Linked DNA regions of Mus musculus. The protein of the gene in region 1 interacts with the protein of each later gene in a biochemical or structural test. Links are inferred from orthologs where the notes say so. Each region holds a gene or a part of one and is shown on either strand. Other genes may lie near its edges.

Region 1 (3,778 bases):
GTGGAAGCTGCTGAAATTCCATTGGTGCATTTCCCAGTTTGTCACCATGGTTTCTTGGTCCTCAGACTGCAAGGATTAAAGCCAGTTTAAGAGATGGCTTTGAAACACAGAAAAAGTGGGGGAAAGTAGTATATAATCTTGTTGTCTTAGAATAAAAACTGCGAAATGAGACCGAAGGATGTATGTTGTTCTTGGACTCAATAGCATGTGGTTTCTACTATGCAAAGAACCTAGAAACATCTTTGATTGCCTTAAATTACAACACACCCACCAAAATATGCTCTATATGTTTCTATTGGGCACAACAGGTATGCCTGGATTTTAAGTTTTGTTCCAAGGCAGGTCAGTGAAATGTAGCCCATGGAGACCACACTAGTTCCAAACCACTCTCCCTTGTGATAACCCAGAATAGTTTAAAGTAGGAATCTGTTTGCACACTACCCTGCCCTTTGGCCCAACCAAGAAGCTACTGAACTGCGTTTCAAATCCTCACGAAGGCTATTACTGTCCTGCTAGTGCCTATTTCGAGAATGGTCAACTTCTGGAGTAGTTTGGCTTAAATGAGAATGCTTCACTTTCTACTCATGCCTGTAGCTGGTGCATGAAGAAGACACAGGGTGGGGTGGGGTGGGGTTCCTCTTTGGTGCTAGATGGCTTGTTCTCTCTTCTATTTTCCTGCATTCATTTCACAATGCTTCTTTTACTTTTTGTCTCTGTGGACAAAGGTTTGTACATCAACCCTGGATGTATGGTGACTGTTTGGAAGTACCGATATATTATCAATTTCAAACCACTCTAGAAGCAACCCAAAGACCATCACCCTTGGCCAACCACCAATCCTTTGTGTCTTTCATGAAACATTGAAATGTAGTACACACATGCATTGAGGGAAAGATATTAAGCAAAGATCACTGCATGATGGTGTGTTTAAACGTCAAGTATGTTTTTCTTCATGACTCCGTGTTACTGTGGTGTGATGTACACCCTCTACTTGGCAGTGTTGTCTTGTGTCTGTCTGCCAGTATGTTTTTCTGTGTTTTGTGTCTCAAAATATAATCATGTCACTGAAATAGAACTGAATGTTCACCAGCTATCTTAAGCCTCATCTTAAATCCAATTAAAGCACAAAACAAACCAAAGATTAGTCTTGACCATTGAAATTGGCTCAATTAGCTGGGCGGTGGTGGCGCACGCCTTTAGTCCCAGCACTTGGGAGGCAGAGACAGGCAGATTTCTGAGTTCAAGGCCAGCCTGGTCTACAAAGTGAGTGCCAGGACAGCCAGGGCTACACAGAGAAACCCTGTCTCGAAAAACCAAAAAAAAAAAAAAACCCCAAAAAAATTGGCTTAATTAAAAATAAAATGCTGAATAGCTGAGGTGTGGTGGTGGCCAACTGTTTGGGTCCAGATTATGATATATCGGTATTCTCTAATGCCTCAACTTAAAACTCATTTGCTTGGTTCGGTTCTTCGCTTAAAGAAGTGATCATTTCTGTGAGCTTGCTCCTCCACCCTGGGCTTTGTCACTCACCCAATTTTTTGCATAGGCTTAAATCCAGTGATGCTTACAAAAAAGCCTGGGGCAATAATCAGGATGGAGTAGTGGCCAGCCAGCCTGCCCGTGTGGTGGATGAACGGGAGCAGATGGCCATCAGTGGTGGCTTCATCCGCAGGTGAGTTTTTTGCAGTACTCTGTTGATGGATAACCAGCACTGAACTATTTTCTTTTCTTTTACTTGCAAGGAATTTTTGGGCTCCCTCATTGGGCTATGATTAGATTATGATAGCTTGTCATTCATTATCTTGTCTGGTCTTTGGCTGGGCTATCAGTAGAGACACTTCCATCCACCTGCATGAGGTCTTCCAGCAAAGAGCTCAGGTTTCTTCATGGTAATGATAGTGTTCCAAGCAGGCAAAATCCAAGACATGATTTCCTTCTGAGCTATGGCATGGGCACAGTTTGCCATGGTGCAAAGCATGACCACATCCAGAATCAGAGTTGGTATGGAATGACATCACTTGACCTGAGTTTATTTTAGCAGAGGCCTGGTAAACAGCAAGAGTAATGTAGCATTTATAGTCTAGGAGTACCAGAAAGCTGTTACCACTCCTTTCTCAGGAGATAGGCCAAGAACAAAAGGGTTTTATGGTAGGGAAATACAGTCATAGCTAGAGTTGACTAGAACAAGAAAGAGAAGCAAATGCCCTAAACCCTGCTTTCATGACCTCCAGTCTCTCTCAGGCCACTATTCAAAGCCCACTGGAAGCCAGAGCAAACAAGGAGCCAGTAGTACAGTAATAAAGGTCAGCTTCTCAGGGCACAGAGCAGGGGAAGTCAAAGACCTGATTTAGAGTAGGAAAAGGAGGAAAAAGTGGAATACACATTAACCACTTCTTTTGAGATCTAGAAGCATAAATAAATAAATAAATAAATAAATAAATAAATACCTATTTTAAAAGCTCAAATTATATGTCAGCCAATATCTTGGCCTGAGGAAAGGAAACCACTAAGCAGAAAAACAGCCAAATATTTTCTATGACAAAGGAAAGATTAAAGTTATTATATTTTTGGGCATGCTCCCCCCAATTCATTCCATACAACCACCAGTTTGTTTTAACCAGAAAAGCGTAATTTTGTCAAAGAAAGTGTAAGCCTTATCAATTAAAACAGTTTAGACTTATTACATATCAACAAACAGTTCTCAACCTGTGAGTTATAACTGCTTTAGCAAACCTCTGTCTCCAGAAATAATTACAGTACAATTGAAAACAGTAGCAAAATTGTACTTATGATGTAGCAACAAAAATAATTTTCTATTACATGAGAATCTGCATTAAAGGATTGCAGCATGAAGCAGGCTGAGAATCAATGATATACACTGTTATACCAGAACTCAGCATAGGTGAAGATATTTGTCTTCCTAATTATTTATCTCTAAGTTATTGTAGTTATTGGCCAATCAATTATGCTGGTATTCAAATGTGAGCCATAAGTCATAGGGTCTAGATATGCCTTACAAATGACAATTCTAATTTTGCCTCCATCTGCTTACAAGGAAACTCAATTAATAATTTGTAAGCCAGTGGTTGTAAAAGTATGGACTATGGGAGATCCGAAGAAAGAAAGAAAGAAAGAAAGAAAGAAAGAAAGAAAGAAAGAAAGAAAGAAAGAAAGGAAGGAAGGAAGGAAGGAAGGAAGGAAGGAAGGAAGGAAGGAAGGAAGGAAGGAAGGAAGGAAGGAAGGGGGAAGCAGGGAAAAATGCAAGAAGGAAAGACAGAGGGACACGCGCCAATATTTAATCCACAGCAATTCAATCCAAATATCTTGACAACTGACACAAGCATCTCTGATTTGTACAGCTCTGGTGTTCCACTGTGCTTTAGGGATGGAAGTAGTTGTGGTACAGAAACTTGTTCATGGTTGATGATCACTCAAATGAAATGTAAATGATAGGAGGTTTTCTCTTAATCTTTAAATTTGCTCTGTCTCAGGCTGATATATATCTTAGTGGAGCCAAGCATAGTGGCATAGGACTCTAATCCCAGCACTCATCAGGTCTGAGTTCTCAAAGTCAGCTTGGGCTATATATGGAGACAAGGTTGCAAGCAAAACAAAACAAACAATAGACAAAAGTTATAATATGCCAGTGTACTTTGGGAGTTGCCATGGGAAAAGGAGTTTAAACCTTCCGTTTTTAGCTCATTACTGTAACTAGTAAGAAAATTCTGTAATAAGTGCTTTCTATTTGCAGTAAGATGCCTGCTGTTTGCAATAGAGT
Region 2 (3,778 bases), on another chromosome or scaffold:
AAGGAAGGAAGGAAGGAAGGAACGAACGAACGAACAATCAGGCTCCAAAAAACCCAGAAGACCTGACCCGTATCCTGCAGCCAGAACCCAAGAATGGAATTTTAAGGAAATTAAAGAATTAAGGCAACCAACAGTTTTAAAGCCCATTGTGACAGTCATTAGAAAAGAGTAGAGTTATGAAATCCCAGACTAATTCCTCAGGAGAAGCCAATCCAGAACCCTTGGTCTACTTACATTTCAGTGCAGCAGCCCCTTAGGCCACTCTTATTTCAGCCCAACGGACAGTCCAATAATCAACGCTAAAATGCCCAGCAACACAACTACTACCACAATGATAATTATCAATTTCTGGAGAAAGGAATAAGAAATAAAAATAAAATCATTATTACAAAAAAAAAAAGGCAATAGTAACTCATCTAAAAGGTAGCCTTTCTTATCTCTTACAATGAAAACCATCTCAACCCATACATCTCTCTATAAAAAATGTTCTCATGGATATTTTACATTTCTTAAATTTCGTCTTGCCTAGCAGTGCCAGCAAATGGAAGTGTGGAGAACCTACAGCTCTCAGTTCACATGCTTGCATATGTGAACTCAGGGCAATCAGTATCATGAGGTCTCCAGCAGCACCTCACCAATCCATAAAATGTTTGTAACACAGTTCTGATTACCAACATGTATTCATCTGTCCTCTTAAAAACCCAGTTATATACCTTAGACTACATATACTGAATAGGTGTCCAAAATGCAGTTCATCATAGATTCAGATGAAAACAATTTGCGAACTCCCTCAATAATTGCACAAGCGTGCTAGGTGCAGAAGAGAATGAAGTAAAGAATGAAAATCTCAGAGACCAAGAGAAACAAAGAATAAAACAAGGCAGAGGTTGCCATATCTGGGCATCCACAGTCAATGAAGACAGAAGCTTCAAAGTTCTTGAGCATAGGCCAGAAGGGAAGACAGGCACAGAGACATGGTAGAATACACTAGTGGGATGTGAATGCCAGGCCCAACTCCTGTACTTCATCTAGAAGTAGAGAAAGGAAGTGCTTCTATGAGTGTGTAATAATATTTATGTAACAATTAGCAACTGTGCTAGGTTCAAGTTAGAGAAAAAGAGAAAGAATGCTGGGCAAAGTGGAAGACTGTTTTCCGGAGTTCCAAGGAGCTACGTAATGTGTTAAGGATTCACAAGCTACAATCAGATTAATGACAAGATCTAGGCCATGTGGCCAGCCTACTGGGCTGCTCGAGTGTGGGTTCTAGGGCCAAAATCAGGTGAGAGCCAGATCCATGCACAGAACCGTGGGAGGGAGGGAGGGAGGGAAGTCTAGGAAAGGCTAAGGTAGGGGTTTGGAAGAGGCTAAGGCTAGGACAGAGACGAAGGACATGGGCTCAAGAACAGAGTAGACAAGTGACAAAAGACAGGTAGAGAAGGTACAACAAGCAGAGATTGAGGCGCTCACCCTCCGGGCTTCACTCTGATACTTGACCGCCTTTTTGGTATCTGCCACAGCCCGTTCCACAAAGCCCACTGACTGGTCCATGTTGTTCTCAATGCGGTCAATCATGGCTCCCTTTCCCCAGATGCAAGATGTGGTGGCAACAGAAAGAGACAGAAAGAGAGGAGAGAGAAAGCGCAGCAGCAAACAAAATGGACTCTCTTGTCTGAAGACAGAAGGAAAACCTCACCTTCCGAGCCTGACCCTGATACTTCATGGCTCTTTTAGTTTCATCCCGTGCCTTCTCCACATGGTCCACTGTGTGCATGACATTCAACTCTATGTTATCTAACATCTCCCCCTAAAAAGAAGACACAAGTCACACCTGTTAACCCACATACACACACACACACACACACACACACACACACAAAATAGCCCAGCTAATGTGGGAAGGACTGTACAGTCTTCAGTGGCAAGGCGCATGCAGAAACCTTAGAGCACAGCCTTCCGTAGAGCAAACTTTCCCATTCCCCATGTAATGACCCATAATTCCCCAGTCCTCAACAGTGGTCACTCATTCAATAACTACTGGACTACTTCCATGAGTAATTATACCAGCCATCTGAAGCAGGTTTTCTAGGTGCTCAGTAACTACATGTAAATATACACAAAGGGACGCCCTCTCCCTCATTTTTCTTTAATGTTCTTATTTTTTAAGCATATAGGAATGAACCAAAATAAGAAAACCTCATATTTTTAGAATATCACCAGGATGCTGACCCATTCTTAGCCATTCAAGTTCACTCAGCCTAAGCTGGGTTTACTCACTCCTGTGAACCGAGTTTGCTCACTCCCGTGAACCGAGTTTGCTCACTACTGTGAACCGAGTTTGCTCACTCCCGTGAACTGAGTTTGCTCACTACCGTGAACCGAGTTTGCTCACTCCCGTGAACTGAGTTTGCTCACTACCGTGAACCGAGTTTGCTCACTACCGTGAACCGAGTTTGCTCACTACCGTGAACTGAGTTTGCTCACTCCCGTGAACTGAGTTTGCTCACTCCCGTGAACTGAGTTTGCTCACTACTGTGAACCGAGCTTGCTCACTACTGTGAACTGGTGCCCAGTACACAAAGGTATTACAGCAATTATCAGGTCGGCAACAGGAGAAGTACTTAAGTCCTTCAAGAGAAATTACCAAGCCCCTTAAGTAGCAGTGTTGGGGCTCCCCATGCTATTGGTTGTATCTTCCCCTCTAGACTCTTGTCTTTTAATAAGATCCTGATCATTTCCCAGCTTTTACTTCCTATCAAGGAAGTTTGGTCACTCCAGTTACTTCCTGGGAATCTATAGCTGAGCATTCCCTGTCACCCGCCTAGATCTTTCTCATTCCCTTTGCCTTGGGACTCTCAGAAAACCCAGCAAAGCACTTACCATCACTTGACTCAAACCAGATCCTCAGCAAGGCAGTGTGGTGGGAAAAAAAAAAAAGTGGGAATAGAGGGATTGAGAAAGGAGTCTCAAAGGCCAGAAAGGGAAAAGGAAGAAGAGTGCCAAAGGGCAAAGAACTCATGAACAACTGGTTAGCCTGTACTCAGGCTTCAACTACGGTCTGGGGTCTACCTACCAAGCAAGAGTTTCCAATTCTGTACCAATGGCTGAATAGCTGGAAGTTCCTGGTGAAAGCTGCTTAGCACCATGACCCTACATGACACCTAACTCTATCCCAAGAACTGGGGACCAACAATCTGACAGAAATGAATGTCATATGCAAGCAATATCGAATTCCACTCCCAAGCAGGCAAGCTTGGGGATGAATTGTCGAGAATCATAAGTGTTTTTATAGTCTTTCACTAAAATATTCTTTTAATAAGAAATTCTTCAATCATGTCTACTGTTGATTCTTAACAAAAGGTGCCAAAATGCTCAGGAAAAGAGAAGTATAAAAGCAAAACTAGAAAAATTAATTAACTTGCTTTTAACTTCTATGGTGAATTAGAGGAAAAGAAAAAGCTTTCAGTAAAATAGTTCATATCAAAAGACTGTCAAGGCATTGACTATAAGACCTCCTTTTTATTTTTTTAGGAAAGGTAGGTCTAGTGAATCCCAGGCTGCCTTTCAGATTTGTTCTGTATTAGAAGATAACCTTAAACTCCTGATCCCCCTGCCTCCATCTTCTAAGTGCTGTGATTATAGGTATATGCTGCTATTCTTGGTTTATGCAGACCTAGGCCAGAAGATAGCTTGGACCCAAGGCCTTATGAATGCTAAGCAGGCAGCCTATACTCAACTACACATTCCACAGCCAAAGAGCCCATGTCTTTAATTTTAAAAA
Region 3 (3,778 bases), on another chromosome or scaffold:
CCCTTCCTGAGTGTCACTGGTGTCTGGGTACAATGGGCTAAGGATCACCCATTGGTATGTAATTATAGCCTATGCCCTATGGGCTAAGCTGCAAGGGCGTTTGGGGTGGTTTCTGTAGGGCCTGTGACTCAGGAACTCATGAGAAAAGTGGTACCTAGCATAGGGGCAATTAGGGCTTGGTGCTGAAGATAAGCAGTGCCTTCAGCCTGGGTTATGGGTACATGCCTGTCACCTACTTTAGCAGCCACTATTGCCCATCATAATCTGTTCCTGCCTGTTCATCATCTATGCATCTGCACATCTGGATTTCCCTTCCATCACCTTCGGTTCAATCCTCTGCAGGACAAAGGTCTCAGGAAGGATGCACATCTGCCTCAGGAGCACATAGATGAGCAGACACATCAGTGCACACAAACACACATGTGCAGTGGCATGAATATACACACAGATAACTAGATGAACATGCAACTACAACACAACCACTCACTATATGTGTGTGTGTGTGCATGTGCACGCGTGCGTGCGTGTATGTGTGTGTGTGGGTAAATACACAGACAAAAACCAACACATTCACTTCTCTCAAGGGATGGGCACTACTGGACTCACGGCCAGCAGAAGGGACTAGGAACCCAGAATGATGCTGCCTGATCTCTGCTGTTATTCCCAGGGGCCACCAAGGACATGGGGAAGATGCTTGGGGGTGATGAGGAAAAGGACCCCGATGCTGCTAAGAAGGAGGAAGAGCGGCAGGAGGCACTGCGGCAGGCAGAGGAGGAGCGCAAAGCAAAGTACGCCAAGATGGAGGCAGAACGTGAGGTCATGCGGCAGGGTATAAGAGACAAGGTGAGCAACTGCAAAGAGGAGAACTGCAGGCAGCAACCCTACCAGAGGCAACAGCCTCCTTCCTTGGCTAACAGCTCCCCTTTCACTCCTAATTCAGGGATCTAAACCTTGGGGACTGCACTGTTGGGGGACTATAGGTGTTTGAATCTGGTTGGGGGTCATTCTGAGGGCTGCCCTTTCCTACTCCTCATGTCAGGACTGGTTGTTCTCCTGGAGCTTTGGCCCTGCCCAGAAAGAAGACTCTAAGAGAGGAATGGGGATTGGCTGAGCTGGGAGTCTTTGTGGGTCAGGAAAATCAGGGCCAGAAGTTCCCCTTTACCTTTGCTTCCTGGACTTAAACAGGGTGGATGGGTGGTAGCCTCCCTGTTCCCAGTCACCTTTGTGACTGTCTCTGCAGGTAGTAGGGCAGTCAGAGAGCATTGTGCCTCCTATTCATAGTGGAAAAACTGAGGACCCATGTGGAATCCTGAATTGAGGACCACATACAGCCACCTCTTTTAAGAGAATGGTTCCTGCCCACTCCAGAAGGGAAGCGCCAGGCCATGGGAAGAAACGAGTCATTGAGATCCTTCCAGGCCCTGTGGGGATGGTTCAGCAGGCTTGGGTGGGTAGGTGGGGAGCAGGGAGTAGGTCACATAATCCTCCAGTCCTGGACTTGAGATGCTAAGCTGGGGAGCAGACATCCTAGGTTCTAGGTCCCCCTTCCTGCCTGTACATCCACACCAGGTTCTCTGTTGATGTGTCTGTGGTTGGGGCAGATCTTTGTGACACACAGGGAAGGAAGCTGTAACTCCTAAGATGGATAGCGGGAGATGGCCAGTAGGTGGCTGGAGACATTGGGTCCTTGATCTCACAAAGGGCCAAATGTGTAGCTGGCCTCCCCTCTCTGCCCATATTTGGCCTCCGAGGTAAGCCCTAGAATACCCTCCCTTCACACTTGGTTGTAGAGTGCTGTTTATGGGATCTGGGCTATGCACTTGACATTTGCCTTGAAGCGCTGTCACTGGGCAGTTTCCTGGGTCTTGTAGAAGGTGCTTGCTCAGTTTGCTTTGCCCCTACCTTCCACAGCCAGTGAGTCACTTATTGTGGTTAGCAAGATGTGCTATTGATCATGTGAGTGACATGGTAGCAGACCCCAAAATTAATTGTAATGTATCAAGAGGTGTGAGGATGAACATGAGAGATGGATAGAGAGTTAGAGACTGACAGACAGACAGTGATGCTAAATGGAGGGCTTAGAGGGACGGAAAGAAAAGCAAAAGAGAGCTGAGAGCCACAGAGGTCCCTCCCTAGGTAGAGTTAAGAGGGACCAGAACAAGGTTGGAGTAGGGTGCTATGCTAGATGCCCAAGTGTGCAGTGGCTCTGGCAAGTTCAGGGTTGGGGCTGGGTTTTTGGTCCAGGAGAGTCCTGTGCTTGGTTCAGTCCCCCTCAGGAAGTTCCTGCCAAATACCACCCTACCCACAAAGCTTTGACCTCTCGGTGTGTTTAAAAAATTGGGACTCAAAGAAGACAGGGTACCTTATCCACTGCTCTGTTTTTACACATTTCCCTAGAAACTGTGAAGAAATTTGTTCTTCAAAACAGTATTTCAACATGTGGGTTGAGACCCCTTGAGGGATCCAATGACCCTTTTACAGGAGTCCCCTAAGACCATTGGAAAACACAAATATTTACATTGCATTTCACAACTGTAGCAAATTACAGTTATGAAGTAGCAATGAGATGATTTTATGGTTGGGGTTCACCACAACATGAAGGACTGTATTAAAGGGTCACAGCATTAGGAAGGTTGGTAGCCACCGCTTCAGAAAGTTCAACAGCCTATGCCTGGCTGATTAGGGAAAAGAAATGCAGAATATCCAAGTGATCCCCTAAAAGAGGCCCCTCTGGTGCAGATAAAAAGGGTGAGCCCAAGAGGGGAAAGTTGTAGGGTCAAAGCCCCAGGCACTCCCAGATGCACTGGGCCCCACCCCACATCATCCCATGCTGACAGGATGGTATGGAAGCTGTCATGTTTCCAGACATCCGGTTACTTCTATATCACTGCCTGGCCACCCCAGAAGCTATCAGTCCTGACTCCTGGGCCTTCACTGCTGCTGCTCCATCTCCCCAGCTCCCATAGGTGTACATCCTGCTGGTCTGGTTGAGCCCTCACTGGGCAGTCCCTGCTACCCACTAGAACTGGATCCCCAGCCTCGCCCTGGGCTATGTGTACCCCTAGTGTCTTGAGCCTTGGTCAGAGAGAGAGAGCTGAGCAGTGTTCCAAGGCTCCTCAGTGATAAGGGGGAGAGGAAGAGACTAAGAATGGGGTCAGTTTTCATATCCTCATGGTGTGAGGCTCCTGGTAACCCATCTAAAGAACTGGGCATGGATATTCAGGATTGTCCCAGGGTGGGGCGGTTCCTGGAGAAGTATCCATATCCATTAGGAAGCCATCTAAGCAGAGTTTGATTTGCAAACCCACCATCCAGTATCTATTTCTACCACCTATTTGTGCACACAGCCAGATTTCCACACACACCTCCAGGTTTGCATATGTACTACATGCTTTGTGTATGCTTCCAGCCGCCCACAGTGAACTGTCTGTTGAGTCAGAACCTTTCTTCTGGTGAGGGGACAAGGCCCAGGTGTAGAGCTGGCATGTTTCTGCACCCACAGTTCTGTACTCACCTGGCTTCTCTCCGCCTGTATGGTGATGAAAGCTGTGCAGGTGGAGACTGGCCAGAGCTGTTGGCTCTTAGCACTCATAGCCTTTACTTAACAGTGATCTTAGGTCTTCTGTTGTCTCCTATACGTGAAACCCCCTTAATCCAGCCCTTCGGCATCTTCACCTGCCTCGGAAAGGTGTGCCTTCTAGCATACCTGACTGTTACTTCCCGTGGCCCTGTCCTTGGGCTGATGCTTCCGGACACCTGACACAATGGATACCTGGCC

The links.
Region 2: the proteins of Snap25 (region 1) and Stx3 form a complex in vitro, tested with the Homo sapiens proteins (2 studies listed by BioGRID). The link is inferred for Mus musculus from reciprocal best matches to the Homo sapiens genes SNAP25 and STX3.
Region 3: the proteins of Snap25 (region 1) and Cplx1 are reported together in a solved structure, tested with the Homo sapiens proteins (2 studies listed by BioGRID, with this or other methods). The link is inferred for Mus musculus from reciprocal best matches to the Homo sapiens genes SNAP25 and CPLX1.

What each region holds. Positions count from the first base shown.
Region 1 is NC_000068.7:136,772,349-136,776,126, forward strand, and holds part of Snap25 (synaptosomal-associated protein 25), read left to right. Parts: intron 1-1,546; coding exon 1,547-1,672; intron 1,673-3,778.
Region 2 is NC_000085.6:11,781,333-11,785,110, forward strand, and holds part of Stx3 (syntaxin-3), read right to left. Parts: exon of another isoform or gene 2,878-3,778; intron 1,805-2,877; coding exon 1,694-1,804; exon of another isoform or gene 1,579-1,693; coding exon of another isoform or gene 1,342-1,578; exon of another isoform or gene 355-1,341; intron 349-354; coding exon 265-348; 3' UTR 235-264; intron 1-234. UniProt on the Homo sapiens protein: Potentially involved in docking of synaptic vesicles at presynaptic active zones. Apical receptor involved in membrane fusion of apical vesicles.
Region 3 is NC_000071.6:108,522,457-108,526,234, reverse strand, and holds part of Cplx1 (complexin-1), read left to right. Parts: intron 1-667; coding exon 668-843; intron 844-3,778. UniProt on the Homo sapiens protein: Positively regulates a late step in exocytosis of various cytoplasmic vesicles, such as synaptic vesicles and other secretory vesicles.